3 linked regions of the Alligator mississippiensis genome follow. The protein of the gene in region 3 interacts with the protein of the main gene of each other region in a biochemical or structural test. Links are inferred from orthologs where the notes say so. Each region holds a gene or a part of one and is shown on either strand. Other genes may lie near its edges. The genes, in order: ADRB2, ADRB1 and MAGI3.

Region 1 (10,694 bases), on a different chromosome or scaffold from region 3:
TCCTCTATGTCATGTATACATGTAATTCTATTCATGGGTGTATAATCATACACATTATATATTATAGCATATTTTATTATATTCAATTATACTGCCAGCAACTTGTTGTTGCTATTATGAAACTAAGAACATGGGCAAGGAGATCAATTGTCACTACTGGGAAGTTAATTTTCACTTCCTCTAGGGTGCTATGTAATAGTAATATGCACGCTTGCTGATGTAGACAATTCAGCATGTATATGATGAGTATGTGTGTTTACATGCACATTCTGTACTGTACATTGGTGTCCTGTATCCAATTCCTTGTATTGTACAAAACAAGCTTCATTAACAAACAGCGCCTGATTTTCTGCGTTCCTAAGTCTTGCGCTGTGTCAGGTTTCATTTTGCTAGGACAGCCTGTTAATGTTTATCTTCAGAGATAATGTTTTTGTAGACCCAATGACTTCTTCAGCAGCAGTTGCATACTCCAAAACATCACCACTCTATATGTTTGCTTGAGCTGCTTTAAAATTAAAAAACTTAATACAGGAATTAAACTGTACATGGGATCTACTTATGACCTTACATTGACAGCAGAGGGAGATGCACCAGGCAAAATCCTTAAAGCAAACCCTGCTCTCTGCTTGGTGCTAGGGGGCAGCCAATGATCATAGACCAATCTGGACACCCTGAAACTCACCACACATAGGATATTAACAGATAATGGATGAGGAAAATGCTTTCTCAGGACATATTCCCTTTTTCTGCATCTACTTTGGGCTTGGTCCTACAGTCCTGATTCAGGACAGGTAGTCATGCATTCATTCTTTTTGCAGTAGAACAGAAGGATGAACCTCAATCTATTTCTTTTTCTCAACCACTCTTCCTAAGTGCTCAGACCACATTGCTGTAGAGAGGAGGAAATGGAAATTTCAACATGTCCTCCCCTGAAAGCCAACAGCTAAGACAAACCTTTATGTCTACATGAGCCTATATAGTTCAGATTTGATTCTGCAATTCATTCACTACTGCCATGCACTTTGTACCATCGCTTTTATCAGTGTAGAGTAATTGCAAGGGGGTGTAAAGCATTATTAGATTGGGATGGTAGTACTGACCCTCCTTTATACAGGTGCAGATAACTACCCAAAGTGCAGGACAATGGCAAACTGGCCTCTAAGAGCAAAAATGGGTGATGCCTGGTTATTTTCATGTTTCTCCATATTGGAATGTGCCATGCATTTTAAAGAAATGCCAGGCATCTTTTGTATGAATTTTGTTGCCATCATTTTATATTCCACTTGCTACATTTTTAAAGGAGACTTGACTAATACACACGAGAGCTCCTTAGCTTTCCATGCACACACATGCTTTAGAGGAGCCAAAGTCAATATTTTCAGTGGCCAAAAAGATATGAGCCAGTGACACTGCTTTCAGCATGCATATGGTAGGCATACTGCAGACATATTGTGCAGAGCAATGCAGCCGCCCAAGTGCTGGGACTGCAGTGATCTGTCCATAGAAACTCATACTCCCTTGTGTCACATGGTGCCTACTTTCTCTCTTATATCCTTGTCCCATAAAGACAATGGCAAACCTACAGAAGACAGGATGTCAGTATCTTATGCCCACGTCTCCAATCTCCTGCAGCACCAAAGATCCTGCAAGTCTTTCCCTTGGTTACAACTGCTCTTCCCTTTTCCTCACTCTCCAAGTGCAGGAAAAGTTGCCAAAAAAGGTTCCCCAGGCATTTTGTTCTCCAATAGGGCTTTTCTATTACCTCAGTAACTGCTTTGCTCACTGCACAATTTAATTCCCAAATTGACCATGCACAAAGTTGACAAGATTAAGCAGACAATTGAAAAAAAGGCAACAGAGCTACTTGTTCTTCCCAGCTGTTGAACAAGATGCTTGGAGAGAGGTGAAAAAGGAGGGCATGTTTTGGCAGAGCAATGTACACAAGGGAAATTCACCAAAGATTGAATCAGTGTGGCCAGGGGAGGTTTCCCCCATTATGGTCCCAGCCAATTAATGTGTGGGCCACATGGACACTACCTGGGATATCCATCCATTGCATCTGGCTTGCAGCTGTCAGATCAAACCACAGCCCTAGTCTGAATAGGAGTCACCTGCAGATTTCTGATGGAGGTGCACACAGCTTGCTGCAGGCCAGCTCTTCCAGTGACAGTCTCTGTAGCTGTCCTCACTGGAAATGGTAAAGCCTAGGATGATCTTAGCCCTAGCAGCTGCTGAGTGCCCAGGAAGCTACTGAGAAACTACCCTGTGTCCCAGAAGTAAGGCAGTGCAATAAGAACAAAGGGAGAAGATAACCCATGCTCTGCAGCAGCTGCTTGTCTGACTTTGCAGCAAGTGGTCCCTCTTCAATCCACTGGCAATACCCCTGAGAATCGCAGCACTGGATGCTCCCGTGCAGAGAGCTTTGTCCTTCCAGCCCCTTGGCAGCAGCATTGAGCAGACTGCCAGCCGCATCCCTGGTATTTTGTTCATTCCTGCTTGAGATTTCCCCCCCATGGTAGGATTCCTAGGAGCCCCTCGGGTCTGGGCAACAGACTCAGAGCCCCCTGCCCTCAGCAGGATGCCGGCAGTGAGCAGGGGCTGCCTACTCAAGCCAAGCTGACAGCGGGGGAAGTTCCCTGGCCCAGGCTGGGGGCACTAGTGAAACAGCAGAGCAGCAACACGGGAACGGCCCAGCCCGCACGGCCCAGGAGCCAGGGGGCAGGCTGACACCCTGCACAGCGAGGGCCGAGGGTCGCTGCCCTGCCTGCTCCCCCCGAAGCTGGGCAGCACCCTGCACTCCCCGCTCTTTGCAGCCCTTCAGAGCACGAGGGGTCGTTGATCGCTTCCTGCCACTGCCGATCTGAGAAGGGCCCGTGTCGCTGCTCTCCCCCCGCCCCCCCCCCGCACCTGTCCGCGTGCGTCTGAGCATCAGCTTCCCTCTGACAGCCCCGCGCAGCCCCGCCGAGCCCGGACCTCGCGCGTCCCCCCGCCGGGCCGGGAGCCGAGATGCAGCACTTCAAGAGCTGGCAGGAGGGCAGAGGGAAGACCCGAGGGCCGCCCTGGCAGTGCTGATCGCGATGCACTGTCGCCCAGCACGTCTGTACATCATGTCCTGCCAGCCCCCGCCGCATGGCCCAGCCCAGCCCCCCGGGCTGCCCGAGCCCGGGGCAACAGGGAGAGCAAGGGGAAGAGAAAAACAAAACACCCCGCCAAGTGTTTAGTGCAGCCGGGGGGGGCCACGGACGTGGCTGTCGGAAGCCTTCGGACCCCCGCGCCCTCGGACAGGCGATGGGCGGCCGGAAAGACGCCTTCTCCGCGCTGCCCCTGCCCCGCGCACCGCCCCCGGGCTGCCGGAGCCCACGAGGGAGGCGTGGAGCACTTCTCCAGCCCTCCCCTCAGTCTCCCCCAGCTGATCTGCCCTTCGTGAGACCGGGCGCGGGCGTGGGGAGGAAGTGAACCAGAAAAGCGTCGCTTAAAAAAAGTTGTCAGCGCAACTTTGTATTTAGTCCGCGGCTAAGAGCATCCGCAGCGCTGGGGAGGGGGAGGGGGAGGGGAAGGGACGGGCAGGCCTCCGACCCGATGCCCAGCCCCAGAGAGGAGGCAGCTCCGCGGTTCAGGCCACGGTGAAGATGAAGATGAAGATGATGGTTCTAACCAGAGCTCTGAGGTAGATCAACACAGTGACAAGGACACCACAAAAGTCACCCGTTCCTCCTGGGATGAGCCTGCTACAACAGGCTTAAAATAACCCCCCGGCGCGCCTATAAATAGGTCCTTGCTACAGCGTTTGTGCATCCGCACACCCCGGGCAGGCACCTCCCGGCCGTCCTCTGGCCGCCACGTCGCCGGGTGCCTTTTCGCCCCTAAGGAAGGCCGAGCCCTACAACACGGACACCTGGGTGCTAGGGTTGACCCCCGGGGGCTCGGGGCGACCATTGGGCACAGTACCTTGACAGTGCAACAAGCCTCCTGTGGCCGCGACGGCACCTCCCTCGCACAGCAGCTCGCAAGGCTTATCCGGCCCCGAGTGGTAGCCGTTGTCCTCCTCGTGGAAGTCGCTCCTGCCGTTGCTGTTGGAGTATCCATTGGCGTAGAGCTTGAGGGCGGAGCGGCGCAGGCACAGCAGCTCCTGGAAGGCGAACCTGAAGTCCGGGCTGCGGCAGTAGATGAGCGGGTTGAAAGCGGAATTGACATAGCCCAGCCAGTTGAGGAGGGTGTACAGGTAATTGGGGATGATGTTGTCCTGGATGACGTGCACGATGTTGACGATGAAGAAGGGCAGCCAGCACAGCGTGAAGGTGCCCATGATGATGCCCAGGGTCTTCAGGGCTTTGTGCTCCTTGAGGCAGAACTTGGAGGCGCGCCGGCCCGGCCGGCCGCTGTGCTCGGGCTGCTGGCAGCCCTGGACGTGGAACCTGTCGATCTTCTTCAGCTGCTGCTTGGCCACCTGGAAGACCCGGGCGTAGACGAAGACCATGACCACCAAGGGCAGGTAGAAGGAGATGATGGAGGAGGCGATGGCGTAGGCCTGGTTGGTGAAGAAGTAGCAGCACGTGGCCTTCTCGTAGCAGTCCAGGGCCTCCCGGCTTTCCGCCTGATACCAGTGCATGTGGATGGGCAGGAAGGAGGTGAGCGCTGACACCAGCCACACCACGAGGATGACTACGCGGGCCTTGCCCTTGGTCAGCAGGCTCTGGTACTTGAAGGGCGAGGTGATGGCGAAGTAGCGGTCCACGGCGATGACGCACAAGGTCTCGATGCTGGCCGTCACGCACAGCACGTCCAGCGACGTCCAGAACTCGCACCAGAAGTTGCCGAACTGCCACATCTGCAGCATGATGTGGCTGGCGCCGAAGGGCACCACGGCCAGCCCCATCACCAGGTCGGCGCAAGCCAGCGACGTGATGAAGCAGTTGGTGACCGTCTGCAGGCGCTGGAAGCGCGCGATGGCCGTGATCACCAGCACGTTGCCGAAGACGATGGCCAGCACGATGAGCGACATGAGCACGCCCATGCCCACCATCCACACGTCCCCCGACAGCGTGGTGCTGTTCGCGCTGTCCAGCCCGCTGGCGTTCCGCGCCGACGCCATGGCTCCTCGCTGCCGCCGGGCTCCGGCCAGGGCAGGCCAGCTCCAGCCCCAGCCCCAACCCCAGCCCTGCCGCCCGCCCGCCCGCCCCGTCCGGGCAGCAGCCAAGTGTCCCGAGTCCGTTATGTGCCAGGCAGCTTATAGAACAGCCGGGCGTGACATCACAAAGGGCGCAGCCAATGGGAGGCCGGCGGGACACGCAAGCCGACTCGAGCGTTCTGAGCGGGGACCGCAGCGCGGCGCCCGCTGTCCCGCGCGGGGACCCGCTCCGAGCAGAGCTCCCGGTACGGCGCGGCAGCTGCCCCCGGCTGGCCTGGGTTGGGCGGAGCGGGGCGGATCGCTGCTGCCGGCCGGGTCTCAGATCCGGCGCTGCTGCGTGGAGCGGGATGGGCGCGATCACTTCCCCGCTGCGGGCTCGGGCGGAGGCGAGCGCTCGACTCAGCCCGGGGCTCTCGATCTGCCCGGGACCCCTCAGCCGGGGGGAGGCGGCAGCTGCTCCTTCCCTCCCTCGCCCTCGGACCGTGTCTGACGGCTCGACCCAGTCGCCAGGTGCAGCGAAGCGCGGCGCAGCTCCCTCCTCGGGCCAACCGAGTGGCGCGGGTAGATCTAGTTCCTCTAGTTGCAGCCTTTAGCCGGCCACACCCTCCCTTTTAACTGCAGGTCTGAATTTAGCACATGATCCCTGGAGTCGGATCAGAAAGTGAGTGTAAACTTCCTTCCTCAGGAGGAAAGTGGAGGCTAAATGAAATGCCTAGCTTAGGGACTGGGCAAATAATCAGAAGCCCCACAAGAAGACAGGTGCAGAACCTGTCCTACCCGTCCCCCCGCTCCCCCCAGAAATCAGGACACTTCTCCGAGAGTCCTGCTGATTTCAGTGTGACCCCTCTCAAAGTGAGGGAGAGCTCACATGGGTCCCTTCAGTATTGTGCAATTCCTGCTTTAGAAGCATGTGCAAGGATCCAGTGTACAAGGAGGCTGCAGCTCCCAGGGCCTGGTAAGACCAAGATGGGATCTGCAGTGCCCCCCCCCAGCAGATTTGCCAAACAAGCAGGTGGCTTAGACTGAACGCTGGCAGAAGTGTATGGAGGAATCAAGAAAGGTGAGGCCAGTATCTCAGCCACTTTGTTTGGGTAAGGGCGAGTGCTCTGACAGAGTCTTCAGATACTTTGGGAACCATGTAGCCTTTTAAATTTACTGTAGGGCAACTCAGCTCATCCTGAGGCCACTAATGGTACTAGAAGGACCTTATCCTTCCTTAGCTTGTGCTGTGATGTACAATTTCTGGATTTCTGGTGAGCATAAAGGGGATCTTTTGACTCTTGAAAAGCATCAAGGAGAAGAAGGGTGTACTTGGTAGCTGTGTTGGTCTGAGACAAAAAGACATACAAAAAACTAGAACTCTTGGTTCCAAAATGATACCTTTTATTAGACCAACTGGAAAATAGCAAGAAAAAAGACAATTTTCTTGCCATTTTCCAGTTGGTCTCATAAAAGATATCATTTTGGAACCAAGAGTTCTAGGTTTTTTTTTAAGTCAAGGAGAAGAAGGCATTTTTATGGACTTTTGCTACCTAATAGCATCTATTTTTAGGTCTTTTTCCTCAGACCAGAATTTGTAATACAGGTTGTACCTGCCTTATCTGCCTGTACATTAGATTTTCAAAAGACCTTAAATGAGAAGTTAAACTTTTAATTTACATAACTCGGAGTGTGTACATAGGGTCAGTTGCCTTTTCTCTAATCAGCTTGAAAGCATTGTTGTCCACACACAGCTGTTCACAATTACAGCAGCGACCTAGCCACAGTAAAATATGGCCCTGACACAATGTACTCAGTGATTTCCTGAGTATTCAGGACACCAATGCTATTAGGAATATTTGTGATCATATAACTCCAGTGCACTCTGCTTCACCATGCTGAAGCCAGACATAGTTAATCTGTTCATTTAACTTTTAAAAGTATTTTCCCCAGAAGCAAAGAATCGGCTAACTAGGGAATAAAGATGGTGCCAAGCTTCTTGTAACCTGACTGAAAAGAATGCTGCTGCTTTATGTTTCATTTTTGCTGGGTTTTTTTAGAATAAAACCATACTGTCTCAGCCCTGCATTTTTCACAACTAAATTAAATTTCCTGCAAGGCGTGAGGTCTTTTGGGCTTGTCTTCCAAGTCTCAGGGCTGTGATTTGCATGGTCATTAAAGATCCCAGGGCACAGAAAGGACTCACAATGGTGTCACAGCCCAAAATTTCATTTCTGTCCACAGCCATGCTGTGTATCCATTATCCATGGCTGCGTGGTGGTGATGCTGTTGGTATATTCATGCTCTTAGGCACAAAAGCAGTCCCTTCCTCACAAACAATCCCCATGATGTCATCCACAGAACTAGCATATGAAGGACTGCAAGTATTTGCAGCATCAGGTACAGGGTTTGTTCAGCTTTTTAGATGAAAGGTAACAGGGAAATGCAAGTATTGTTATGACTAAAATGGCCCGGAGGCAGAGGGCTTCTGATTGTTCTTCAGATTTCTGAAGGATTATTAATGTTAAATCACACTCTAAAGTTCTCAGGACAGTAAAGATTCAGTGGTTTTCAAGAGTGTGCCTCGTTTTTCTATTCCTAATAGGAAATTAAATGCAAAAGCAGTAAATATCCCAGATGTTCCCATTAGCAAAGTAAACTTGCCAACAGTTACTCTGCTCTGCTTGTTCTTCTCACTTTCTCTGAGGGGTAGTGATCAGAGCAAGCATCTCAGAACTTGCTGCTTTGAATCCACTAGGTGTCCCATTTCATGTCAGTGCTACTCCTGGTGTATGTAATAGGCCCGAAGATTTTATTTATAGAGCACAACTGTGTATGTTGAAGGAAGTTTTGTGGCTTAAGAAAGGGTGGGGGATGTATGAAGGACTGCAAGTATTTGCAGCATCAGGTACAGGTTTTGTTCAGCTGAACTTCACTGAACTTTTGAAACAGGAAATAAGGTTAAAAGCAATGTCAATCACTAGGTATTTTCCATGTTGGGCCAGTTTATTTCCCCTGAAGCAGGAGAAGCCTCATTTCTGCATACATTTCTTGCCCTGTTCCTGAATACCACTGTCTGCCCAGCCTTCACAATCCTTAACTTTATGAAAATAAACAAATTTAAAAACATAAAATAGATGATATACACAGCCCTTGTTTTCCCTGCAAATACCAAAAGCCTTCAGAAAGAATGAGGATTGACTAAGCAAAGCAGGCTGCAGGTTGCACTAGGGAACAGAAATGACCTTTGATAAACCATGAGTTTCAATTAACTGGAGGTTGGGTAAAGCGTTTGTGCTCTAATAAACCTGTATCTATAGTTACAGCTGTTCCTAGCAAGGGTAAATCGGCATAGGTACACTGACTTAAACTGAGTTGTGCTAATCTAGGTCAGTGAAGGATCTGGCCCATAATTGCTTAACACAGCTCCATTTACTTGCTTTGAGACACTTTAATGGCTTGCACATTCCATCTCTCCTTTGCACATATATCCACCCCTCCCATGCCCAAAAGCCACACACCTTGAAGTGGAAACACCAAAGGAAATGATTGGGAAAGAGGGATTGTTGACTAGGCAATGTTTGAGAAGAGATAAGGACCTGCAGGCAACATGGGGAAGGAAAGCAGAAAGCACAGTAAGAAGGGACAAGTTATGGCACCTCGTTTACCTGTTCATTCTTTCTTGAGAGCTGATCAAAAATGGAATTAAGATATATATTTTTTGTGACTGAAGAAGGGAATTCCTTTAATTTTCACTGTGTCGCTGCTGATTGTGGTGTTTAGACAGAACTCTGAGAGTTCAGAAAGCAGATGACTTCACATCCTGAAGCACCCCCTATATTAAAATCTAGATATATATGGTATCACTTGCAAGAAGTATTACATCTTGAAAAGAGACTGGAGACCTGGAAAACACCAACTGGGGTGGGGGAATGGGAGGAGCAGGGCTTGCCCGTGCTGAGTTTGCCAGTTGAACAATGCAACATCAGCTCTGGCTATGTGTCATGCATGCACAAAAACTCACACACCTTCCAGATACTGACCCACCATGAACCTCCACAGTGTACTTCAGGGCTGTCTATTAGTCAGGGTGGAGAAAATGACCAGCTCATCTAAAACCTTGATGTAATCTGTCTTTGCTCATTTGTATTCACTATGAACCACTCGTATGGTTAATAAAGTAAGATGGAGAAGTGGGGAAAAAGGAAGATTTTCCCGAAGCCCAGGGACCTGCTAACACACAGAGCTATGTCCCTGATGGGAATGAGGTACAACAGTAAGTTATTAGTGCTCTATTTGATTTGTGGGATTTACATCTTTATAATGACAGCCCTTTGAGTTCTTGTACAAAGATAGTCCATTTTACAAATTATCCAGAGCTCATCCAAGCTATTAACTTGCTCATAATCAGCTTTGCTAATATGAAAACACAGATGTTGTTGGTTATCCCCAGCCCAATCTTTGAAAGAGTTAATTACAATGTTAAGAAATAAAAGGCTGGATTTTCTTGTCCATTAGGGAGGACCGCTGAAACCAGGCAGAGACTCCCAGCAGAGATTTGAGTTTCCTACACTAGATTCTGGGCCAGTGCAAATGACCTTATTTATGCCAACAGTGCCAGGAGCATAAATCAGAGCAACATCTCTCCTGCTTTACCTTTCACCAAAGTTTCGAATTCAACATTTCTATAGCAAATTCAGGGACAAAGGGAAAAGTACAAGGGATCCATCTGCACCAGGCTAATGGAAGGCAACCTACTGAATGCCAGCCAACATGGTTTAATACTGGAAGGTCTTGCCTGATCAACCTCATCTCCTTCTATGACCAGGTGACGCATTGCCTAGACAAGGGAGATGAGGTTGATGTCATTTATCTGGACTTCAAGAAGGCCTTTGGCTCGGTCTCCCATGATGTTCTCACGACCAAGCTGGGGAACTTTGGCCTCGACCATCTCATGGTCCAATGGCTGGGGAACTGGCTCTGGGGTAGGACCCAAAGAGTACTAGTTGATGGGAATAAATCAATGTGTGGCACAAGGTCACCAGTGGAATCCCCCAGAGCTCAGTGCTCTTAGTACTCTTCAATATCTTCATTAACAACCTGGATTTGGGCATCAGATGTGGACTGGCAAAGTTTGTGGATGACACTATTGGGGAAGGCGGTCATGCTAGAGAACAGGCTGGGGATCCAGGCTGACCTGGACACACCTGCAAAGTAGGCAGACCAAAACCTGATGGCATTCAATGTAGAGAAATGCAGGGTACTCCACCCTGGGAGAAAAAAATAGCATCATATTTATAGGCTTGGTGATGGTACGCTCACTAGCACCATGACCAAAAGGGACTTGGGGGTCTTGATTGACCACAAGATAAGCATGACCCCCAATGCAATGTCATGGCCAGCAGAGCAAACCAAACTGGCATACATCTACCAATGCATCTTGAGCAAAACCAGGGATGTCATCCTCTCACTTTACTTGGCTTTAGTGAGGCCACAGCTGAAGTACTGCATCCAGTTTTGGGCCCCCGAGTTCAGGAGGGATGTGGATAAGCTTGAGAGAGTTCAGAGGAGAGCCACCCATATGATC
Region 2 (10,217 bases), on a different chromosome or scaffold from region 3:
AAACTGTTTATTTAAGAGAGAGCTTGGCCTATTTCTTGCAGAACTGACTTTCAGAACTCTTCTCACTGGGACATGATTTCTAACTCAACTATATTGTTGAGTATAATAAAGCTAAAAATGGCTTCACTTTTATTCTGTGCATGACATCAAGGAGGTGTTTTACGATACCCAGCCGTCTGGCTTTTTGGTGCTTTATATGCCATGACAAGTTGCAGTCATGAAAAATTCTCTGAATCTATCATAATAAAACATACCTTCATGACAATAATGGGAGACAGTATTGTCACGGAGTTCTACATTCAGGATTTGCATTAAGGATTAGAGTCTGCCACCCATGCCCTCTCGGCACTTCATCATGGTTTGTTTGGAGTCCACGGGGGTACCTGTGTCAGCAGGGCACTGCACAGTGTGTGAGGGTAACAGGATCCAGCCCTAAAGGAATCTATAGCTAGGGAAAATATTGCTGCCGAGTGCCATATTGCTTTTCTCGCTATATAATTAGTTCTTTAATCTATAGATATGTGACTGGGGTTTTGTGCGGAACTGATACGCAGTGTGAAAAACACTTTACAGGGCCTGATCTTGCACCCATTAAAGTCAATGACAACTGCCTTTGGCTTTAATTGATATCAAGAAATGAAGGGATCAAATATGTAGTGCTATTTTCTGAAGACACTTTTTTCAGTAATGTAGAATGAAAGCCTGGCATATTTTTTCAAGGGATCACAAACTTCTTATTACATCTCCCGATACAGGGCATAATCTCCCTTTTACTGAAATCAGCGTAGATTCCCAATGATTTCGGTGGGAAAGAGCTGGCTTCGCTGAATATGGACTTCAAGCTCTGTCTGCATCCAGTGAAGTTATTTTAAGAGTATCATTGATTTCACCATGAGAGAGCCACTGCATAATCTATTAGCAACAGTTTTCAGTTTTCAAATCCAATACAAAACCATTTTATTCTATTTTTCAATAATAAATCCCCTGACTCCTGGTCTACTAATACAACAAAAAGATCAGGAGAGCCAACAGGCTAAAGAAAATGACTATGTTTATTATCAGGCTGGAAACACCTTGTCTTTGGCCATTAATTTTTGAGGGAAGTCGGCAGCCCTTAACGCAACAGAAAACACAACCTTATTTGGTCTAGAACACTTTTTTTTAAACAATATTTTGTCAGGGAAAGCCATTAGGTGGGAGAGTATTGGTAATTTGATCCATATTTTGAGAAAAACAAAACTCTGTTCTTTCCATTATAGCTGGGTACTGTTTCAGAACCTATAGAGACACGCTGTACATATATGCTTGTTTGTGCTGCAATGTTATTTATTGCACATAGACCAATTACTTACACAGTAGTAAATTGCACCAGAGTATAAATACCTTATAAAACACACACAGGAGGAAAATGGAAATGACACGCAAGTGCTAAAATAACAGCAGATTCACGTGGGCACTTGGACATAAAATATTAAAATAATAATAAAAGACCCTTAAGATATTTTAATTTATAATACGGATGCATTTACAGTACCTTGATAAAATAATATAAAAAGTCACTCTCTCAATAGAAATGTAACATATTAGACAAGAGCAGAAAGAATTTTTTTCAGGTTTGATGATATTTGAACCCCCGTTTTATTTTTAATTTTTTTTTGTGCAAGGAACATCTTCAATTAATTTTACGATTCTTAACACTGTGCAAAAATGGCTCTGTTGCCATTTTTTTTATGTGCAGTAAATTTTTTTTGTTGCCAGGATTTATTTATTTTTTTACTGTTCATCTTCAATTACAATGAACAAATTGCAGAAGGCTCACTGCCTCTTTTTAGAAAATAATAATATCAATACATAAATAAGCTGTTTAATATAAACATGTCTTTTTATTCCCCTGTACAATATGCACAGTTTGAGGTAGAAAGTTTCCCAGCCTGATTGGTATTGTCTGGCAAGAGAAGATAAGCATAAGAAGTCAACCGGTTGCTGATGCAGAAGATAAAAATCAGAAAAGCTCTGTTCAAAATACAAGTATATCAATATTCTTCATTAGTTAATTTTTTTCCCTTCATCTTTACTTTAAAAAACAGGGGAACGCAGCTACCTGAAGTTTAAAATAAAACTTGCCAGATGACAGACACACTTTTATAAAGGACTGTTAAGCCTGATTTGCAAAAAGTGCTGATCACCTGCAGTTCCCACTAACTTCAACAGGGCTGTGTGCAGGCAGCACTTGTTAAAATCAGACTGCTTTTTTACCTGTGTGTGAAACAAGAACTGCAGCCACCAAGAGTAGGGGCAGGGAGAGTTTATAGTCCTCAGCTTGAAAGCAAGGTTAAATACAGCGTGATCCTGGCTACAGTGAAGTCAGTGGCTAAACTCCCAATACTTCAGGATCGGGCTCTACTGCAAGTGCAGCTCTTAGAGCAGCTTAACTGAGTAAAGGATATTTTCTTATTCCCTTTCAAAATGCCTGTTGCCACCTAACTCCCTGTTAGAAAATTTAAAAAAAATGAGCTTGAGACAGCTTTCAATTTCCTTTGTTCAGTGGTCAGCGGCTTCCTCTAACATCAGATGAGGTATGTTGCATACAAGTTCACCTGCTTTTAGTCTTAAGTAAACACAGATTTTCTCCCCAGTGAGACAGAGATTGGTTTTGTTTGGTGTTTGTTTGCTTAACCAGACTCCTGATATTTTTTTCCTCTCACTTATTCCCTGGCTGGCTTTCTTCGTGCTCAGTGTCCAGGGTGTCCCCCAGTGCCACCTCCCACCGTCCTTATACCTTGGATTCCGAATAGGAGGTTTTGCTATTCCTCTCCTCCAGGCTGGAGTCGCTGCCTCCCTGCGTACCCCCATTGCAGTCGGACCACATCCCTCCTAGGCTGCGCTCGGGGGTGCCCAAAGTATTGATGAAACTCCCTGGGAACCGGGAGAGCTCCTCACCGCTGGCGTGCAGCCTCCTGTCGGCTTTCCTGGGGCAGCAAAGCAGCCTCTTGAAAGCCTTGCGGAAGTCAGGGCTGCGACAGTAGATGATGGGGTTGAAAGCAGAGTTGGCATATCCCAGCCAGTTGAAGAAGACAAAGAGCTGGTCTGGCACCAGGTCCCTGTTGAAGACGTTGACCACGTTGACCAGGAAGAAAGGAAGCCAGCACAGAGTGAAGATTCCCATGATGATACCCAAGGTCTTGAGGGCTTTCTGCTCCCTCATGGCCATGATCCGGGAGCTCTTCCTCTTGCTGGCCCTGCCGTTGCCCAGAATGGGCTGGTGGTGAGCGTGGCCCTGGGCAGGAGGCTGGTGGTGGTGGTTGTTGTGGAACCTACCCTCGCATCGGTCGATCTTCTTGATCTGCTCCTTGGCCTCTCTGTACACCCTGATGTAGACAAAGATCATGATGAGCAGAGGGATGTAGAAGGAGATGATGGAGGAGGCGATGGCGTAGGCCCTGTTGGTGACGAAGTCGCAGCAGCCGGGGTCCTGGTAGCAATCCAGAGCCTGGGGATCCTCATCCCGCCACCAGTGCATCATGATGGGCAGGAAGGAGACCAGAGCGGAGATGCCCCAGACGGTGCAGATGATGCCCTTGGCCCGACCCTTGGTCATGAGGCTCTGGTAGCGGAAGGGCCAGGTGATGGCCAGGTAGCGGTCGATGGCGATGACGCACAGGGTCTCGATGCTGGCCGTCACGCACAGCACGTCCAGCGAGGTCCAGCACTCGCACAGGAAGGAGCCCCAGACCCAGCGGCCCTGCACCACCTGCGTGGCCCCGAAGGGCACCACCAGCAAGCCCATCACCAGGTCGGCGCAGGCCAGCGAGGTGATGAACAGGTTGGTCAGCGTCTGCAGCCGCTGCGTGCGCCGGATGGCCGCGATCACCAGCACGTTGCCCGCCACGATCAGCAGCACCACCAGCACCATCAGCAGGCCCATGCCCGCCGTCCACTGCTGCGACAGCAGCTCGTGCCGGCCGCCGGGCGAGGACGGCGGCGGGGAGACGCTGCCGGGGGGCGCGGGCGGCGGCGAGCCGGACCTGTTGTGCGGCTGGCAGTCCGGGGGCAGCCAGCCATCGCCCATGCTGTCCGCTCAGGGCAGCCGCGCCGGGGGCATGAAGACCAGCCGGGGCGCCCGCCCTGCAGCAGCCGCAGCCGGAGCCGGAGCCGGAGCCGGAGCGGAGCGGCCGCCGCGGCCGGGCTGCAGCATGGTTGTGCGCTCCCGCGGCTCCCGCGCCGCGACACCCCCGCGCCGCGCGTCACTGCTCGGCGGCCAATGGGCGCGCGGCGCGGACACACCCCCGCGGCGCCCGCACGTGGGCGGCCCCCTGCCACCGCACCCGTCGTGGGGGGGGGGGATTGCGCGGGGCGCGGGGCGCGGGCGGTGTCTTGTCTGAGACCCGCCAGATTTGTGCAAATAAAATAAAATAAACTAAAATAAAAAAGTTCTTAATTGCAATGCTTCCGGCCACAAACGCCCTTCTTGGGGGTGAGGGAGCGGAGGGCCGGCGTCCTGGGGGCTCCCCGCTCGCTTGCCGAGGGCCCAGGGCAGCTGCTGGCATCACTGCCCCGAAACGCTGCGCCGGGTTCGCGCTCTTCTCCTCTGTAGGTCTTAGGCTGTGCGGACGTGAGCAGGTAAAGCCCGTTTTAGCGTTTAATTTCCGAGCCCGGAAAGCCCATTCTGGTGTTTAATGCCTGCTGGAAGAGCGCACACTTCCTCAGCCGGACAAAGGGTTTTTAAACCCGAAAGCTTGCTAAGAAATTGTTGTTCCAACTACTGAGTTGGTCTAATGGAAGGTAACTGGTTTTACCCGAAGAGCCTTGTCTGCCTGCTGGGTACCTTGAGGATGGAGACGCCTGTGACGTGGCCAGCCTTATTGGGCCAGAAAGTAACATTCTGTGCTAAAAACAGAGCGCCTTTCGTCTTCCTCGAAGAGTTGCATTTGTTTCCTTGCCGAGACGCAAGGAGGAGAAGGGAGGGAGAAGTTCTCCCGCCGGAGACAGATGTATCAAGGGGGCTTCAGGCCTGCCCCAGCCCTGCTGCTCGGCAGGGAGAAGTGACCAAGAGGCAGCAGGCGCCGCCGCTCTCACCGCAGCCCGCGGGGATGGGGCAGGGGATCTCGCTGCATGTGCTGGATTTAAAACCTTAGCACTGGAAGCCAGCAACAGTTGCCATGGCCTGTAGGCAATATTGACAACTGTGCAAGTGTACGCTGCCCGGTGGGGGATGGATCCGTGCTTCCCAAGCCCTGCGTATCTCCCCATCACAAGTCCTGTTTGTTCTGGCTTCCCCGGGGGTTCCAGATTCAGCCACTGTGTCATTCCTAAGGCTGGGAGTCAGAGGACTTGGCTTCTGTTGCTGGCTTTGCTTGGGACAAATCTTTCTGTGCCTGTTATCCCAGCCGTAATGTGCAGCTCAGAACTTTTACCCGCCCCGGCCAAACCCCATCGATAGCTACAGACGTTTGAGGTGCAACGTTATCATTTGTTAATAACCATAAAAAGTTTCCGTGTGCAGTAAATGTGTTGCTCCGGTGACAGCATAGCTGCATAAGAGACTGTACAAGGATTGCAGCCCTTTGCACAGCTACATCCACTGAAACGGCTTAAAACACATGGGCTTGACTCTTATTTACATGTGCAGCCCTTCACGCTGCTCTGTTATCAGGTGTGGCCTTAGATGGATGTAAGGCTTATTTACTCTTACTTTAAATTGCCTTTGTACTGGCAAAGAGAAATGAAAATGAGTTCTCTCCCCTTTACTTTTTAGTATCACAGGATTACATCCATGCCTGGGGCTTACATCAATACCCCATCTCATACTAGCTGGGAGCAATAAGAGGGAATCCTTTTTTCCCACATATATTTATTCTGCAAAGGCTGTGTCATTGTTCCGGTTTGACCTTACCATTCCCTGCCAGGTTCAGACTCGGTATACAAGGTTGCAACCCCGGAGTGAATTATGTGTTTATTTACATACTGTTTGTTTAACCCTGATTACAGGCTCCATCAGTTTGGACCTGCTGCTTAAACTATTCCCTAGTGAACTTTGCTTCATTACTTGATCTTTTCCAGTCTGAGCCAGTGGGATAGAACGATCGAGGCAAACAGAAGATGCGAGACACCCACTGTATGACCATCCCACAGCACACAAATGTCTGAAGTCATGCAGGAGCTTTCTCATCAGCGCCCACACTCTCGATGCCACACTCAGTAAGACACAACTACAGATGTGGAACGAGAGGCTGAAGAAAATAGCTGACAATGAAAAAATGTACACTCCAGCAGCTAAGTCCTTACCATCGGGGGCTGATGAACAGTGGCAAAGGTGGCGATGTCTCAACTGCCTACGTACCAGAGTCGCATGTTCCCAGGAACTAATGAAGAAGTGAGGCTATAACATTGGTTCGACCACCTGTAACTGTCACAGAGCTTCAGACTAGGCAATGCCTGCTGTAATGCCCACTGCTTGAAGGCACATGTGCAATGAAAGAGCTTGCAAAGTACAATAAACAAGCACAAGCATGTGTAAAAAAATGGTTAAATGTGATGTAGAGACATGAGAAGAAGAAGTCTGAGCCTAGAGAGCTCAGCCCTCCAATGCATGAAGTGACTCTCTTGGACAGGGAGAGGTGGATGCTCCTCACCTTGAAGAACTATGTGAACACTGCTAGGTGTGGATTGTGGCTGAACCAACTAAGGAAAGGGTCTGACGATATTTGTCAGGAGGTTGTCAGTCAATCCTCAGCTGTGATCCCCGCAGGAACAGGAATCCATCCTTTCTGTCAGTCCTGAGTCTCTACCAGAAGGAACCAACACAGAGCTAGATAAGAGTGGACTTCTACAGTGAACTACTATAAATGTGACTTGCAAAAGATTTTGTTATTAGACAATTTATCCTACAGCTAAGCCTTGGTTGCCCGCACAAGCCAGGACAGAGAGGTATTCAACATATCAGGTATATCATTTTAGGGGCTTCCTGAAGTCCTGCTGGCTGGATCTTCTCAAAAAATGGAGACATCTGAAGATCGTGGATAGTTTAGAAAATCCAACCTTTAGTGACTTGCCCAAGATCACACAGGCAGTTGTGAGGGGTACAAATCATGCCTTTGGACACTTTTCCTGCATTTCCATCCATCTGTCATCCCCAGGGTATTTTTACTGAATTAAGGTCTTTACCTAATAAAATTAACATGGGATTGTAACCCCTTGATTGTCTCTCTGTCTTTGAAGAAGCTTTGAAGTTTAAGGGCCAGAGAAGTTAAGTGAATTGCCCAAGGCTACATAATTAATCAGAAGGCCTAGAATAATTTTCCTGTCACAACAGGCGTAATTCTGCAACGTCATGTCAGAGCTGGAACCAGCCTGACTTTGGGGTTGTCTAAAAAGGAAGAACCAAAGGTTAGCTGAAGAATTTATCTGCTGAGCATCCCTGTGTGCATGCAGCTGATAACTGTAGGGTTAACTCATCTTCCAAACGACACCTCTGCAGATCACCTTTAACTCTAAGTTTCCTGATTTTTGTGCATTTGAATGTGGTTTTGCTAGCACCTCTTTGTGTGCAAATTATTTAAGGATGTCAGGTCAAGAGGAGTGAGTTCCAAAGTCTGAAATGGATTGTTTCTGCCTGTGCTCCAGGTCACATTTTTTATTGAAGCAGTAATCTATTTTTTCCTGGAAGTCATTGTTTTTTTTTAACAAGAAGCTTCAATACTAATTAGAATAGATTGGTTATCCAACACACCCACAGAGGATAACAGATGGACCCAGAAGGAATTCCAAATCGTACTGCACTGGAGAGGCTGAGTTGAAACAAACTTCAGAGCTGGAATGTGTCAGGGACTGCAAGGGCTTCTGTGTAGGGTTTTAGACCCAGATCCTTTGCGCTGCTCTATACAGAGTCCCACAGACTTCAAGGGGGCTTTGAGCAGGCACATGACTACCACACAGACAGCGGCTTGCAGCATCAGGGCTTTGTTGTGTACAGGTGTGTATCATAATGCTGACTGCTCAACAAGTAAAACAAATAGGAAGGCAGAACTGAGGGAGAAGAAGGGGCTGAAGTACGGGTGTGGTATTTGCATCGGCACAGAGAGAAGCAATGCTAAGGGAGTGCAAAAAGATGCTGAATATTAGATTCAAGTTCGCACTGCGTGAGTTTGCATGATACACACCATGGAGGTGGGCAGGAGCAGATCCTCTTTATTGGCTTGATCCTGAACCTATTAAAACCAGTAAAAGTTTTAGCTCAGTGATGGCAGGATTAGTCCTGACAATCTGTGGCTTTTAGTGGATTTACCTAAGAAAAGGCTTGGAGTGACTAGGTTGTGGGACTTTGAGTGACTTGCTGGGTGTTGTTGTCAGATTTCCCAGTGTATTAAGTAATGTGTTTCCAACCCAGCTGGCTGCAGGAGCTCTCTCTGGCTGCCCGTTGGTGCCGGGTTTCCAGCTCTCCCTCAGACCTCAGCACATTAATTGATTCGTTCTTTCCCCTGCTAAACAGCCTGTGAGGATGGTCTGGTAGGTCTAGCTTCTAAAGTTAATACCCTCAGCTAGTACCTATGTCAGTATGCACAGCTACCTAAGTGTCTTTTCAGTGGGAAGAGAGACAGATTGCCTTTTCATCTAGCCAGACCTCTGTTGTCCCTTCTCTGTTCCTGAATTTGTAGCCCTGCTTATCCAAACCAGTTCTCCAGATCATGCAGGATCCAGAACTGTCGGAGCCAATGGCTCTCCCAGAGTCCCATAACAGCCCTTAAGAATAACAGTGTCCTCCTTTCAAGGAGGGCTGAAATTCCCACCTGCCAGTCTTTCTCTAGCCATGAACAAAATTTCAGTACTTGTGGGTACAGCTGGTCAGAACATTTTGACATAATGAACTTTTGTCTAAACACATGGTTTTGTGGAAGCCGAACAAAGATTTTGCTGGGGAAGTTTTTTTTAGGGCTGTCCTGACATTTCTGAATGGCGGCAGAGAAAGAAAAAGAGAGTGAGAGACAAAGAGAAAAAAAAAGGAGAGAGAAAGAGACAGACAGACGGACCAAACTTAAAAAGATAGCTCAGGTTTTTATAGAAAAAAAAAGATTCTTCAGCAAAATTACTTTTGTGGACATATTCTAAAGGTTTAATTGTGAATCCTTTAAAGTTGTCACAGAATGAAATTATTATCTGCTGGACAGCTCTACCCCCAAGGAAATCACAAGACTTGGTAATGATGGACCTGATTCAAGTCTTCTCAGTGGCTGTGTCTACACAAGATGCTGGATGTACAGTTGCAGTATATAAACAAGTACTAAACGACTGTGTAGTAACCAGAGTTACTGTGCAGTCACACCAAGGAATGACTTTTTTGTGATGATGACTGTGCATCATGCTTCCTGCCACATGATGCTACTGCACAGTTAGTGTCTCGTGTAGACGCAGCCAGTTACACCAGGTTTCCAACAGTGTATCTCTATTGGTTTGTATAGATTTGCTCCTGGCTTCTCTGCTGCAAGTGAGCACAAAATCACGAGAAATATGTTTAGGTCTGTGCACTTCCCTATTGAAAAGATAATGATATATTAGATGAGGTTCAGAGAAGATCAATATCAACTATTAAAGGGAACTTGGGATTAATATATGAGAAGAGACAAGGAGACTATTTTAACTAAGCAATGACCTTGTAATTCCCTAATGTATAAATATGTGAAGCATAAAAAAAAAATACCAAGGAGTGGGTGGGAAAGGAATTATTTAGAATAGACGAATTATACCAAGAGACCTAATGAGAGATAATGTGATGAAAAGGAAAGTTCAGTATGATTATCAGAAACAGTTTCCTGAAGGTCAAATCTATTAGATTGCCAAGAAAGCAGTAGAATTCTCTTTGCTCAGACCAGGGGTCAGCAACCCCCGGCACGTGTGCTGAGTGCAGCACACAAGGCCATTTTGCTCGGCATGCCACCACCAGCCTGGGCTCTAGGCAGCTGCTGCCAGCCACAAAGCCCAGGATGCTCCCAGCAAGTGGCTGGGTGGCTGCAAGCCCTGCTGTGATTGGCAGCAGCTACCCAGAGCCTGGGCCGGCTGCATTTGGGAGGCTGCAAACATCTGCTCTGGGCTCCGGCATTAGCTCCACACCAGTGGCCCAGGAGCCCAGCTCCGCGTGCCCGTGCATCTGCCTCTGTCTGGTCCTGTGCATCTGTGTGTGCACACACGTGTCTGGTTCTGGATGTGTGTGTGCATGTGTCTGC
Region 3 (10,595 bases):
TCCAGAGTCAATGCATTGCAGGACACGGGAACATGCCAGTCTGGAGCTTTCCAATGGTTTCCCTTTCTGGAGGTCCGTTCTCCTTTCTCTCCTAGCCTGGAAACCTGTTAGTCCATCATAGCTGAAGGTAAAGCTACACCCTTTGCTGTCTGGATTATTTCAGAGTAAGGGAACAGAGGCTCAGTGAGGTGAAGCTTGCAGTTTCTTCATGGTTTTTTCCATCAGGGAGTGAGATTTGGGCTCCCAGCAGAAGCTGCCGGGGACCCATTTTCTAAACACACTGCCATGAATCCCTATAGATCATGTCAACTTTGGAAATAAAAGACCAGGGGGATTCTCCAGAGGCCAGGGGCATTGGTGCAAAGATCCCTTTCCTGAGCCTTGCTATGTGACTCACTCTGGACAGCTTCTGCAGAAGTCAGACTTCCTCCCTGTTACTGCTGCCACTCTCCTTGGCACCGGTTGTGGGACGGAGTGGGGTATGTGAAGGTACACATTTCTTGCGGAACCCCACTCAATGTGGACCCGTACTTGAAAGATGCTTGGTAACCTTAACTAACGTCCTGGGAGCTGAAGGTGGCAGCATCTTGCAAGACTGGGCCTTTTGAGGCAAGATTTGGGTCAAAGGAGACTGCGTGGTCCTGTCTTACCATCGTGTTCTGTTCCAGCTGAAGCTGATGGAAGTCTTGCTGTTGCCTTTTGTGGGAACAAAACTGACCTTCTGTATCCTCACTCAGTGACAGGAGCTGCCGCGCTAATTCTTCTCGGAAACCTACCGGGGGTCTCTCTGGTTGTGTTCTGCGTTAGGAAAATATTGTTGCAACAGTCCCAACATATCACCTCCGATCTCCCTTCTCCTTTTCTCTCTGAGAGAACATCTTCACCAGAGTACTAGATATTCACTCTGTGACATATTTTCTGCATTTACCTGAGTTGTACCAAAAGCAAACTTTGTTTCCCTGCCTACCAGAGAGTTGCACTGACTTCAGCCCATTTCTTCCTTTAGTTATGATCTCAGTAAAAGTCTTGACATCTTATTTTTGTGCGATTTGTAGGGTGCTGGATGTGGATAGCTAAAGAAAGATGGCAGCAGGCAGACTATAAGGCGTGCTGGACTGGAGACATTTCTCAACTTTGATGGAGCTTCAGCTCTCTGAGATTTCACGTGTGAGCGCACAGAAAATACATAATTCTTCATGCAGCGATAGATTAAGGTAAGTAATTACAGAAAATGTGTTATTCCCAGTTACCTGTAGGTGAGCTCAAATACTTACTATGTTTGTGAGTTGAAATGAGAGGCAGAGAAGGCATGAATGGTGAAAATTCTTGCTTCAGCATGGCACAAATCAGAATTAAAATTTCCAGCTGGTTCTCTTAAACAGGCTTTAAAGTTTTCATTAGCGCTCTGGAAATGAACTCAGGAAAGCTTTGGCAGCATGCATGAAACTTAAGCTTTGGGGACTTTAACAAGATAGGTTTGTTGAGGACATTGATCTTGGAGAAGCTTTTGGAACTGAAATGTTGACAGCTGTCTTCATGGATACTTGTGAATAAAATAAATCTTTTGCTTAATTCATCATCTGAGATCACTGAATTATTTCCGACTCCTTTGAGGTATAAGTGTCTGTTACGGGCTTATGTGGAAAATCTCTTTGTAGATTACAGAAACTGGCGCAGATTAGACTAGACTAATATTTCCAGAATTTATCCAGTGACTAGATCTCAAAGTCATGCCCTTGTTTTTGAAAATGTTAGGCTGTTTGGTTTTATATATCTCAGTTTAGAGCAAGGAATACAGCTAGTCAGTTATACATGGTCTTTATAATTATACAAATGAGGAAGCTAGTAAAGAGAATGAAAGTCAGAAGTGAGACTATTAACATCTTCATGGATTAGACTCAGCATGGAAGCTATTTAATCATCTGAGAATGGAGTTGGTGTTGCCAGATCTCATAATTTGTGTTGTTCTTAAAACCCTGAGGTCATGTAAATGTATCAGTGTGTCAGCTTTAAGTGGTTTTTTTTTTTTACATTTTGCTTTTCAAAGTGAGTTTCTGGCTCTCCTGGTTTTGGAGAAAAGCTTGAAAATGTGCACCGAGATCAATGCAAATCAAGATGGGGAAATAATGCAAATCTTTTCTAGCTCATCATTTTAATCCACTCCAGGACTTTCCCAGGCTTGATTTTTATGGGGTTTTTTTACCATTTGAAGTTGGTTGCAGTCACCAGTAGCTTACATGCCCCTAAATCAAAAGGGAAGCAGGGCACCAAGGAAAAGGAACCCTCTAGCATTGCTAAATGGGGAGGTTCATGTGAGACGGGGCGCTCACAACTGCAAGGTAACGCACACTGGAATGAATAATTTAACAGCCACTCTAATTTAGAGGAAAATGATCTAGGTATCACTGTGGATGGCCCAATTAAAGCCTCTCCGCAATATGCAGCAGTGATCAAAAAGGTAAACAAAGCATTAGGATGTACAAGGAAAAACTACGAAAAACATTGCTGCTGCTGTTGGGTGGATCTGCTGCGCTCTGCCTGGCAGAGAGGGGGGAAGCCTGGAGAGCAAAGGGTCCAGTTCTGCTTGTGCCAGCTGTGAGACCAGTGGCCAGGTGATGGCAGCCCCCCTCCTGGCTGCCCTGCCTGGAAGATGGACTGCAGGGTTACAGGGAGAGGCCGCCCTGCAAACGAGCCTGGCCGGGAGCACGTGCTCCAGAGAGAAGCCAGACTCCCTTGCAGGAGGCTGTGGAGAGAATGGCACCTTGGGAGGGAAGAGGGACAAACCGTGTCCTTCACTGAGCAGGGGATGAAGGGTTTCAGACTAGGAGGGCCCAGGGACCCATACGCTTACTTTGTGCAATAGCAACATGAACCAGACTCTACCCCTCTTCCCCCAGGGCTGGGTGGGAGGTCAACGAAATGCCAGGGTTTGTGTGAGGGGAGCGGGCGGGGTGGATGGCAGGGTCCTGCCCTGGGGCAGCCCATGCTGGACCTCACCCTGCAACGCAACACCCGTGTCTGGAAGGCAGTGTTCAGGGCTGGCCACTCCTCTGACAACAGAAACAGAATGGCACCAGGGGTTGGGGGCTAAAACCAGAGACTCGGATCAAAGCCTTCCACAGTGAGGTGTGGGAGGCAGGGACAAAACGGAGAGATACGTAAATTAGTGAATGGTGCTGATTAGAGAAAGTAAATTAAACTCTCCTATTTCCTTTCCCCGAGAAGAAAAAAATGATGCAACTGAAGGATTTGATAAAAATTGAACTGTTTTATTGAACCATTGTAAAATTCAATATATAATTAACCTGTGCAAGGCATTGGCAAAAGGTGTGAAGACCTTCTAGGTTCCCTAGAGGACTGGACATGCATCCTTCTGGGCGACCAGAGCTATACTGAGGCAGGCTAGCACGCTAGCTGCAGCCGCCCAGCACTTTTGAATGTCACGCTGCATCCATTAAGGTGCCACCGTGTAGACTTAAGAGTATGACCTCAGTTTTTAAAATTTTGGCCAATGAGAAGATCCAGTTACATTTAATAGGATAAGAGAGATTTTTACGAGGGCTATAAACACTTTTTTGTTTCAAGGGTATAGACCAACTACCACCCTCGACTTGGAAAGAAATTTCCTCTAATGAACTGCCCATAATGTCTGTGCGTTACGGTTTGCTGTGCCTTCCTTTGAAGCATTTGGCACAAGCCAAGGCCAGAGAGAGGCTACTGGGATGGCTGGACTATTGATTTAGTCTGGTGTGGCAAGTCTACGTGAAATGCTAAATTTTGGATTCAAATGGATTCGACAATGTCCCTTTTACTGTCCAGGATGCCTAACACCACAAAGCCTCCAGCCTTCTCACTCGCATTCTGCAAGCGTAAAAGAAAATTTAGATCATTTTGAGTTATTTTCACGTCTGTTGGCAGGTAGCCAAGTACACTTCAAATGGCACCGCATGTAATGAGTCCGATCCATCCCTGGCAGAGCTCCATTAACACGAACGGAGCCACAATCATATTTTCACCAATATGATCAGCTGGAGGCCAGTTAATGTCTCCCTAGCCACTCGTGTAACTTTTAAATGATATCCTCCCTTCTGCCGGCTGCCCTTCCAAAATCCCTTTGTCCCGAGATTCAAATGCCACTAATTTTTTTGTTAAAGTCCCTATTTTTGGCAGTAATTACCATATGACCTATAGGAGATACGGGCCGGTGGAGATAAAGACGTGCAGAAGCCACAGGAAACCCACAGCAAAGCGTCGTATCCGTTTGTTAGAGGTGAAAGTTTGCGGTGATTTCTGAACGAGAAAATTAGCTGCCTTTTACGGTTCTGCACAGATGTTAATTATGGGGGAAAGTTCAGCGTGCAAAGCTGGTATTTCTAGTCTCTGTTATTGTGGAGATGGCCAAGAGTATCAGGAAACAAATAAATGATTGTGACGTAGAGCAAGGGCCAGAGGTGGGCCGTTTCCTTGTGTGCGAAGGAACACGCGTACGTATCTCAGCTATGTAAGGTCACACCTCGCACCCTCCCCGCTTCCGCTTTGATTGCCTTGTGTACAGAAGAGCTTCAGAAACGATTGTGCTGGATTCCTTGAGCTGCGGGCTGAACGGGCACGGTCCTGTGGCCAGCCTCGAGGCAAGGCGGTCGCCTTCCCCTTCCCAGAGCAAGCCGGCCCGCCTCGCAGGGTTGAGGCAGGGACGGCCCTCGGCTTCGCAGCAAGAAATGCAGTTTCTGGGGGACCGCGCGCGAGGGCCTGTATCGGACCGGTCGGGCGCGCTGAAGCAGAAGGCTCTCTAGGGATTATTTTTCAAGTTGACATCTAGGGTTCGGCGTGAGCCTTGCCAACATCAGTAGGTGTTCGGGAGTTGTCCTGACTCCCCCCAGCCTCGAGACTGGAGGGCGGGAGCCCGAGGGCCGCCCCAGCCTCCCGGCGGGCCGCGCGTACCTGTCAGCACCCGTTCAGGTGGCATTTCCCCACGCGGAGGGAAAGGGTGCCACTGCCGCGTGGCCCCGCACGAGGTCAAGGGCAGCAGGCTGCAGCTCCTGCTTTGCAGCGGGCGGGCGGGCGGGCCGGGCCGGGCCGCACGGCGGCGAGGACGGGCTGGCTCTGAGCAGGGTTGTTGCGCGCTCTGCTCTCCCGTGCGGTCTCCAGCGATTGGGGCCCGGGACGTCGGGAGGCAGAGGCCGTGCCCCGTGCCCCGGGGAAGAGCGACCCCAGCCCGTGGTTCGTGTTAAACCCACCTGCCCCTTGATTGATTGATTGATAGATTGATCAATCTCCCCCCGCGCTGCGCTGCGCCGTGTCCCACAAGCGGGCGGGCAGACACACGTGCGCGGCGCGGCGCGGCGGGGCGGGGCGGGGCGGGGGGAGGCGTGACGTCAGGGGGCGGGGCGTGCCGGGGGCGGGGCGGGGCGGGGCCGGGCAGTCGGTTGCTGGGCGGTTGGTGTGTGGGGTCGGGTCGCGTCGCGTCGCGTCGGGCTGGGCCGGGCCGGGCCGGCTCGGGAGCCCCATGCGGCGGCATGTCCAAGACGCTGCGCCGGCGGCGGCACTGGCTGAGCAAGGTGCAGGAGTGCGTGGTGTCCTGGGCGCCGCCGCCCGACCCCGGCTCCGGCTCCGGCCCCGGCCCCGAGCTGCTGCGCGGCGGCGCCGAGCGCGGAGAGTTCCCCTACCTGGGCGCCCGCCTGGCCGAGCCCGGCCCCGGCCCCGGCCCCGGCCCCGCGCTGCTCTCCGGCAAGCCGCCCAGCCCCGGGGACGTGCTGCTGGAGGTGAACGGCACCCCGGTGAGCGGCCTCACGCACCGCGACACGCTGGCCGTCATCCGCCACTTCAGGGAGCCCGTGCGCCTCAAGACCGTGCGCCCAGGTGAGCCCCCCCGCGCCCCGCCGCCGCCGCCCTCACCACCGGCCAGCGGCTGGAGCGGCCCTGCCTGCGTCCTCGAGACTATGGGGAAACTGAGGCTGTCGCAGCGAGCGGCGCCCGCATTGCTGCTGGCACTTGGAGGGCCAAGTTTGCTCTCCCAGGCGCGGGGCTGGGGACAGCCCTTGCCTCCGCCTGGGGGGTCACTCGCTCTGGTTGGCACGGGAGCTTGTGGCCGAGCAAACCCGTCCTGGCGGGGGGCCCTCCTGCGAAACTCGGCTTCCGCCGCTGCGTCCGACCTGCAGCTCCCCACGCTGCGAAGTTGGCACGAGTAACTTGGCTTTGACGTCCCGCTCCCGCGGCTCTGCTGCGCCCCCTCTCCAGAGCGCTGCGGGGGCCGGTGGCCGGCGCCTGGCACGCGAGGCGCGCGCGGGAAACTTGTGCCGTGCGAGGCGGTGGCGCTGGGCGGGCGGGGAGCGGAGATGGGCCCCTCCAGGGTGGCTGTCAGCTTTATGTGGACCCACAGATTGTCCGCACGGGCCTTGTAAAATGTGTGGCAGGAGTTGAGGCCGGGGGGAGGCTTGTGGCAATAGAGATAAGAGTATTTATTCCGAATAGGTTCTTTCCTTCTAAACTCGGTGGAGGAAAGATGGTGAGGGTAAAAGCAGCACAGAGAGAACCAGCATGTTTTGGTTTTTTTTCCAGGCATCCTGCCATTTTTGGATGAAGTAGGACTTGCCCTTTGCAGAGCGTTAGTCCTGACAGACCTGTTAAAAATGCTTGCCCTGTGGTCGCCTGCTACAGAAACGAGTCTGATGGAAAGCTTTGGTCTTGCAGCGAAGGGTTGCCCTCCCACGGTTGTTTTATAGCTTCGGCATTAAGATTTCGTTCTTTTGTTCTGCTTAGGATATTTCCTGTCCGCTCTGTCTTCAGATCGTTTGGTGTTGTGCTGCGTCCTGATGCGAGCATTGTAGCTCATCTAAACATCCGTGTGTCACGGTGAATAATTTCTAGTTGCAACCGCTGAAATGCGGGGTGTGCATGTGATGTGTGTAAGGTGGCTTGGCACTTCCAAGCGAATGTTTCCTGCAGCCGCAAGAGGCATCGGAAAGGATTGTAGTCCCTTGACTGAAGGCAGAGGTGGGTATTTCTAAAGGCAAGGCTCTCTGGGTTTTGGCCCCAGTCGCATCTCTTAGTGGATTAACATCTATATAATCTTAAAATCCAGTAACGCTACAAACAGGTCTCTCAAAGAAGCTCAAAAAGATAAGAAATGAAGCGTGTGTGCTGGCTGTGTGTAAAACATTGGGACTGACTAGGAATGAAATGGCAGATGTCCCCAGGGCAAGCAGGAGATTCTGCACTGTGCTGATTAATTTTGAACCACTTTGATAAATATGGATTCTGAATTTAAGAAGGGATATGCTACTTTTCCTTTTTATCTGAGATTTACATGGCAAATGGGATTTTTTTCAGTTTTTTAATTAGGCTATTGTCAGATAAACTAAGCACTTTACCTTGCATCTATAGTGAGCAGGACTACACAGCAGTTTTAATACCAGAGCTTAACCTTTGGGGCATTGTGATGGCGGGGTAGTGATTATTCCCGGGCTATAATATGTGCATACAGGTGTAAAGGTACATAACATATGGCTGTACAAATCGGGGTGAAACTGTCAAAGAGAATCGCTTGCAGTAAAGGTAGATTTAAAGGAACTTGCCGATGAATCTCTCTCTCTCTCTTTCCTGCTCACTTTTCCCATCAAGTGGGTTTTTGTTTTTCTGGTGTGTGAGACATGAAAATGGTTAGGGACTCTGATTTCTGTGGAAGTTAATCGCGCTCTATTTGATAGCTCAGTGTCACAGAGTTCTGAAATACAATTTCTGAAAGTTATCTCCGTAGTGATGTTCGCTGCTTATTTGAAGCGGGTGAAATCACAGTGGTCAGATGATATCCTGGCTTTGTCCGTGGTCAGGACTGATGTAAATGATGCAACGTTCTTGGAATTCCTCATCACTGTTTCAAAGCAATTCCTTTATTTCCCAAAGAAAACTCAGCTTCTGTTCAGAGAATGGGATTAATTCAAGTGTACTATAATTAGCCAGCACTATCAAATCATTCCAGTAAAGTCCTCTTTACCAGCATGCATCTCAAATGTCAAGTTCATGCTAAATAGTGTTACCTGCAATCACACAGACTAATGATTCACAATTTTCAATCTGAAGCTAATTACAGCTTCTCCAGTTCTGCACAGCGCGGGTGTGAACTTGACAAAGTTTAAACAAGTATTAATAATCGCGAATTTTCTCTTCGATTATTTTTCGGTGAATCCAGAGCTGTAGTGTGGCAGTAGACGGTCATAGCAATACTGACATCTTCCATCTGTGGGACTGCAGCAGTTAGTCATGGATGCTAAGCACGCTGCTTACACAGCCACCACATGTAAACGCTGCCCTGGGTCAGATGTGTTTTCTTCGTTCGGAGGTTAGCTGTATCTCTGCTTTACAGTTTTGGAGCAAATCAAACTTGGAACTAAGTTTTTTTATCCTAAAACATGTTGCAAAGTTAAATGTGCTGTGGATTAAAGAGAATTTTGGCAACTTGGTGTTGGTTTGCTTTTTATAAGGCAGCAGTTTAAAGCATTCCCCTCCCCCTGCGAAATATTGCCATAGTTGCATTCAGTGCCAGTGCTTCAGCAAGAGCTGCCTCCAAGTTGCCAAGGCATTCATTCTCTTTGAGTGCCTTGTGACTTGGAAATCGCCTTCCTTTCCATCCCTGGTGAAGTGAAAGGTCCACGTTTGCTGAGCTTCAGAACACCGCACAATGCGTTGGTTTGCACTACTGTGCGGGGATGCTTGAGTCCTGGGCCGCGGGACGTGCAGCGATCTTGCAGTGGCGCTGGGATGAGGAAGGCTGCTTTGGTTTTGGTGAGGTTGGCTCTGCTTCGCTGCTGCTGCATTTTGTTTTTATATGGACTGTGATTTTAATGATCCATCACGGCATCTTGTCCTTTGGAAGGCATTTTGTTTGTGGTCAAATAAAGGAAAAACAGGCACAAAATTGATTTAAATAACACAACAGAGCAATAGGGGAAAGTTACTTAATACTCCATTTTCCTTAAAATGCAAAATGGGCCTTTACAAATCAAAGTACACGGAACTGGAGAGCGTCTGTTGTAGGCCTTGCCATGTACTTGCACTCAGGTGCTGTCGGAGCAGGAGGGGAAGGGTGTTCCAAAGTTCAGTTGTATGTGCTGAGCGTGTCCTGACCTTGGCCTCCTGACATTGAGTCACCTGTCAGCATGTTTCTTAATTGTTTAGTGTCTGTACAGCCTCTGTGTTGAATAGTTGCCTCCGTCTTAGTCAATACTGTAGTGCAGTTGCGGTCTCACGTGGGTGTTTCAGTGGCCTTTAGCAGCAGATCAGTGGGCTGGACTTGCTTTGCACCAGTGATGAAACATGACTCTTCATTAAGGAAAACAGCATCTTTATTTGATAGCAATGAAATCAGCATCTGCGATGCTTGTAGCTAGCTTGGCAGTGGATCTACAATAAAGATTTCAAGATGCAGCTTAGGTCTGTTGAGAAAAACACTTGAAAGATTTGAATGCCAGTTGTTAACTACATATCGCAAGGAATGGCCTGTTTCACTGATGGAGAACTGTCCCCCATTCATAGTTGCCAATGAAAACATGCCTAATATTTTGTTGTCTCTAGGTACAAGTTCAGGACCTCCTGCTTTGCATACGTCTGTGTTGCAACACTGCTGTAACTTCAGGGAATGAGCCAGCTTTAAATGAGCTCGCTTGTCTACTAGTAGCAGCCTGGCCAGCTCAGGCTTCAAAATCACCCTGAGAAGCTGAGTAAATCCTCAGGTAGCTAGCACCTGTGCAGAGCTCTGTGCTCCTTGACGGTGCTTTTGGGCGTTTGTTACACTGCAGCTAGCGCGAACCCGCTGACGTGCAGCTCCAGATCTTTGGTAACAGACCGAAGGTGAGGACGCCGTTTCCGGTGAGGTAAAAATACTGAAGCACTCCTTGTCAAATGTACTGGACTGGACATGACCCATGCCTTACATTCTACATAAATATTTCTTAACATGGTGACTTCAAGCTAATTCCTAATGTGCAGATGTCCATATGATAAGAGTCAGGCCAAGGCCCAGTGGGCCATAGACATCAAACAGTTCTGTCCTTAATGCAAAGTGAGCTCTCGCATTGAGGCACGGCTGGTGGCAAGGTATGTGGTTGAAGTTTTGCGTGGTGCTGATTGTGCTCTTGCCTTTGAAGGGAGGAATGGAGGAGATAAGCCTCCAGTGCAGTGCAGCTGACCACTTCAGTACTAAATTCTGTTAAAAGTTAGTTTACTGTCTACTGTTGGCTTCATCTTTATTTACTGCAATATTTAGGCAGGAACTGAGCCCTTCTGCCAGTGCGCTTCCACTGGCACGAAACGATACAGGCGATTAGAGTAGTAGCTTACTAGCCAGTGGTGTCTCCAGGTAGGCTGTAAGCAAATGTAAGGTCCTAAAATAGGGCGGATTAATGAACATGCGCAAAATCCTCAGCTCAGAGTTTGCGTAGCACGACTGCAGGGATTCTCTTCTGCTCCTTCCAGAGGACAACGCTAGCAAAGCCACGGCACCACGACTGTTGCAGCTTCAGGGCCGCAGGGTTGCTGCCTCTCCATCCTGGAAACAAGCATGCTACATCCAGCCATTTCCCTCCAGCCTCCCATAGCAC

Evidence for each region.
Region 1: the proteins of MAGI3 (region 3) and ADRB2 form a complex in vitro, tested with the Homo sapiens proteins (2 studies listed by IntAct, with this or other methods). The link is inferred for Alligator mississippiensis from reciprocal best matches to the Homo sapiens genes MAGI3 and ADRB2.
Region 2: the proteins of MAGI3 (region 3) and ADRB1 interact in a test that uses a peptide from one of them, tested with the Homo sapiens proteins (2 studies listed by IntAct, with this or other methods). The link is inferred for Alligator mississippiensis from reciprocal best matches to the Homo sapiens genes MAGI3 and ADRB1.

Annotation. Positions count from the first base shown.
Region 1 is NC_081832.1:60,953,936-60,964,629, forward strand, and holds the start of ADRB2 (beta-2 adrenergic receptor), read right to left. Parts: upstream 5,125-10,694; 5' UTR 5,093-5,124; coding exon 3,949-5,092; intron 1-3,948. UniProt on the Homo sapiens protein: Beta-adrenergic receptors mediate the catecholamine-induced activation of adenylate cyclase through the action of G proteins. The beta-2-adrenergic receptor binds epinephrine with an approximately 30-fold greater affinity than it does norepinephrine.
Region 2 is NC_081829.1:92,300,802-92,311,018, forward strand, and holds ADRB1 (beta-1 adrenergic receptor), read right to left. Parts: upstream 4,186-10,217; 5' UTR 4,070-4,185; coding exon 2,774-4,069; 3' UTR 1,035-2,773; downstream 1-1,034. UniProt on the Homo sapiens protein: Beta-adrenergic receptors mediate the catecholamine-induced activation of adenylate cyclase through the action of G proteins. This receptor binds epinephrine and norepinephrine with approximately equal affinity.
Region 3 is NC_081837.1:45,113,418-45,124,012, forward strand, and holds the start of MAGI3 (membrane-associated guanylate kinase, WW and PDZ domain-containing protein 3), read left to right. Parts: upstream 1-5,419; 5' UTR 5,420-5,516; coding exon 5,517-5,859; intron 5,860-10,595.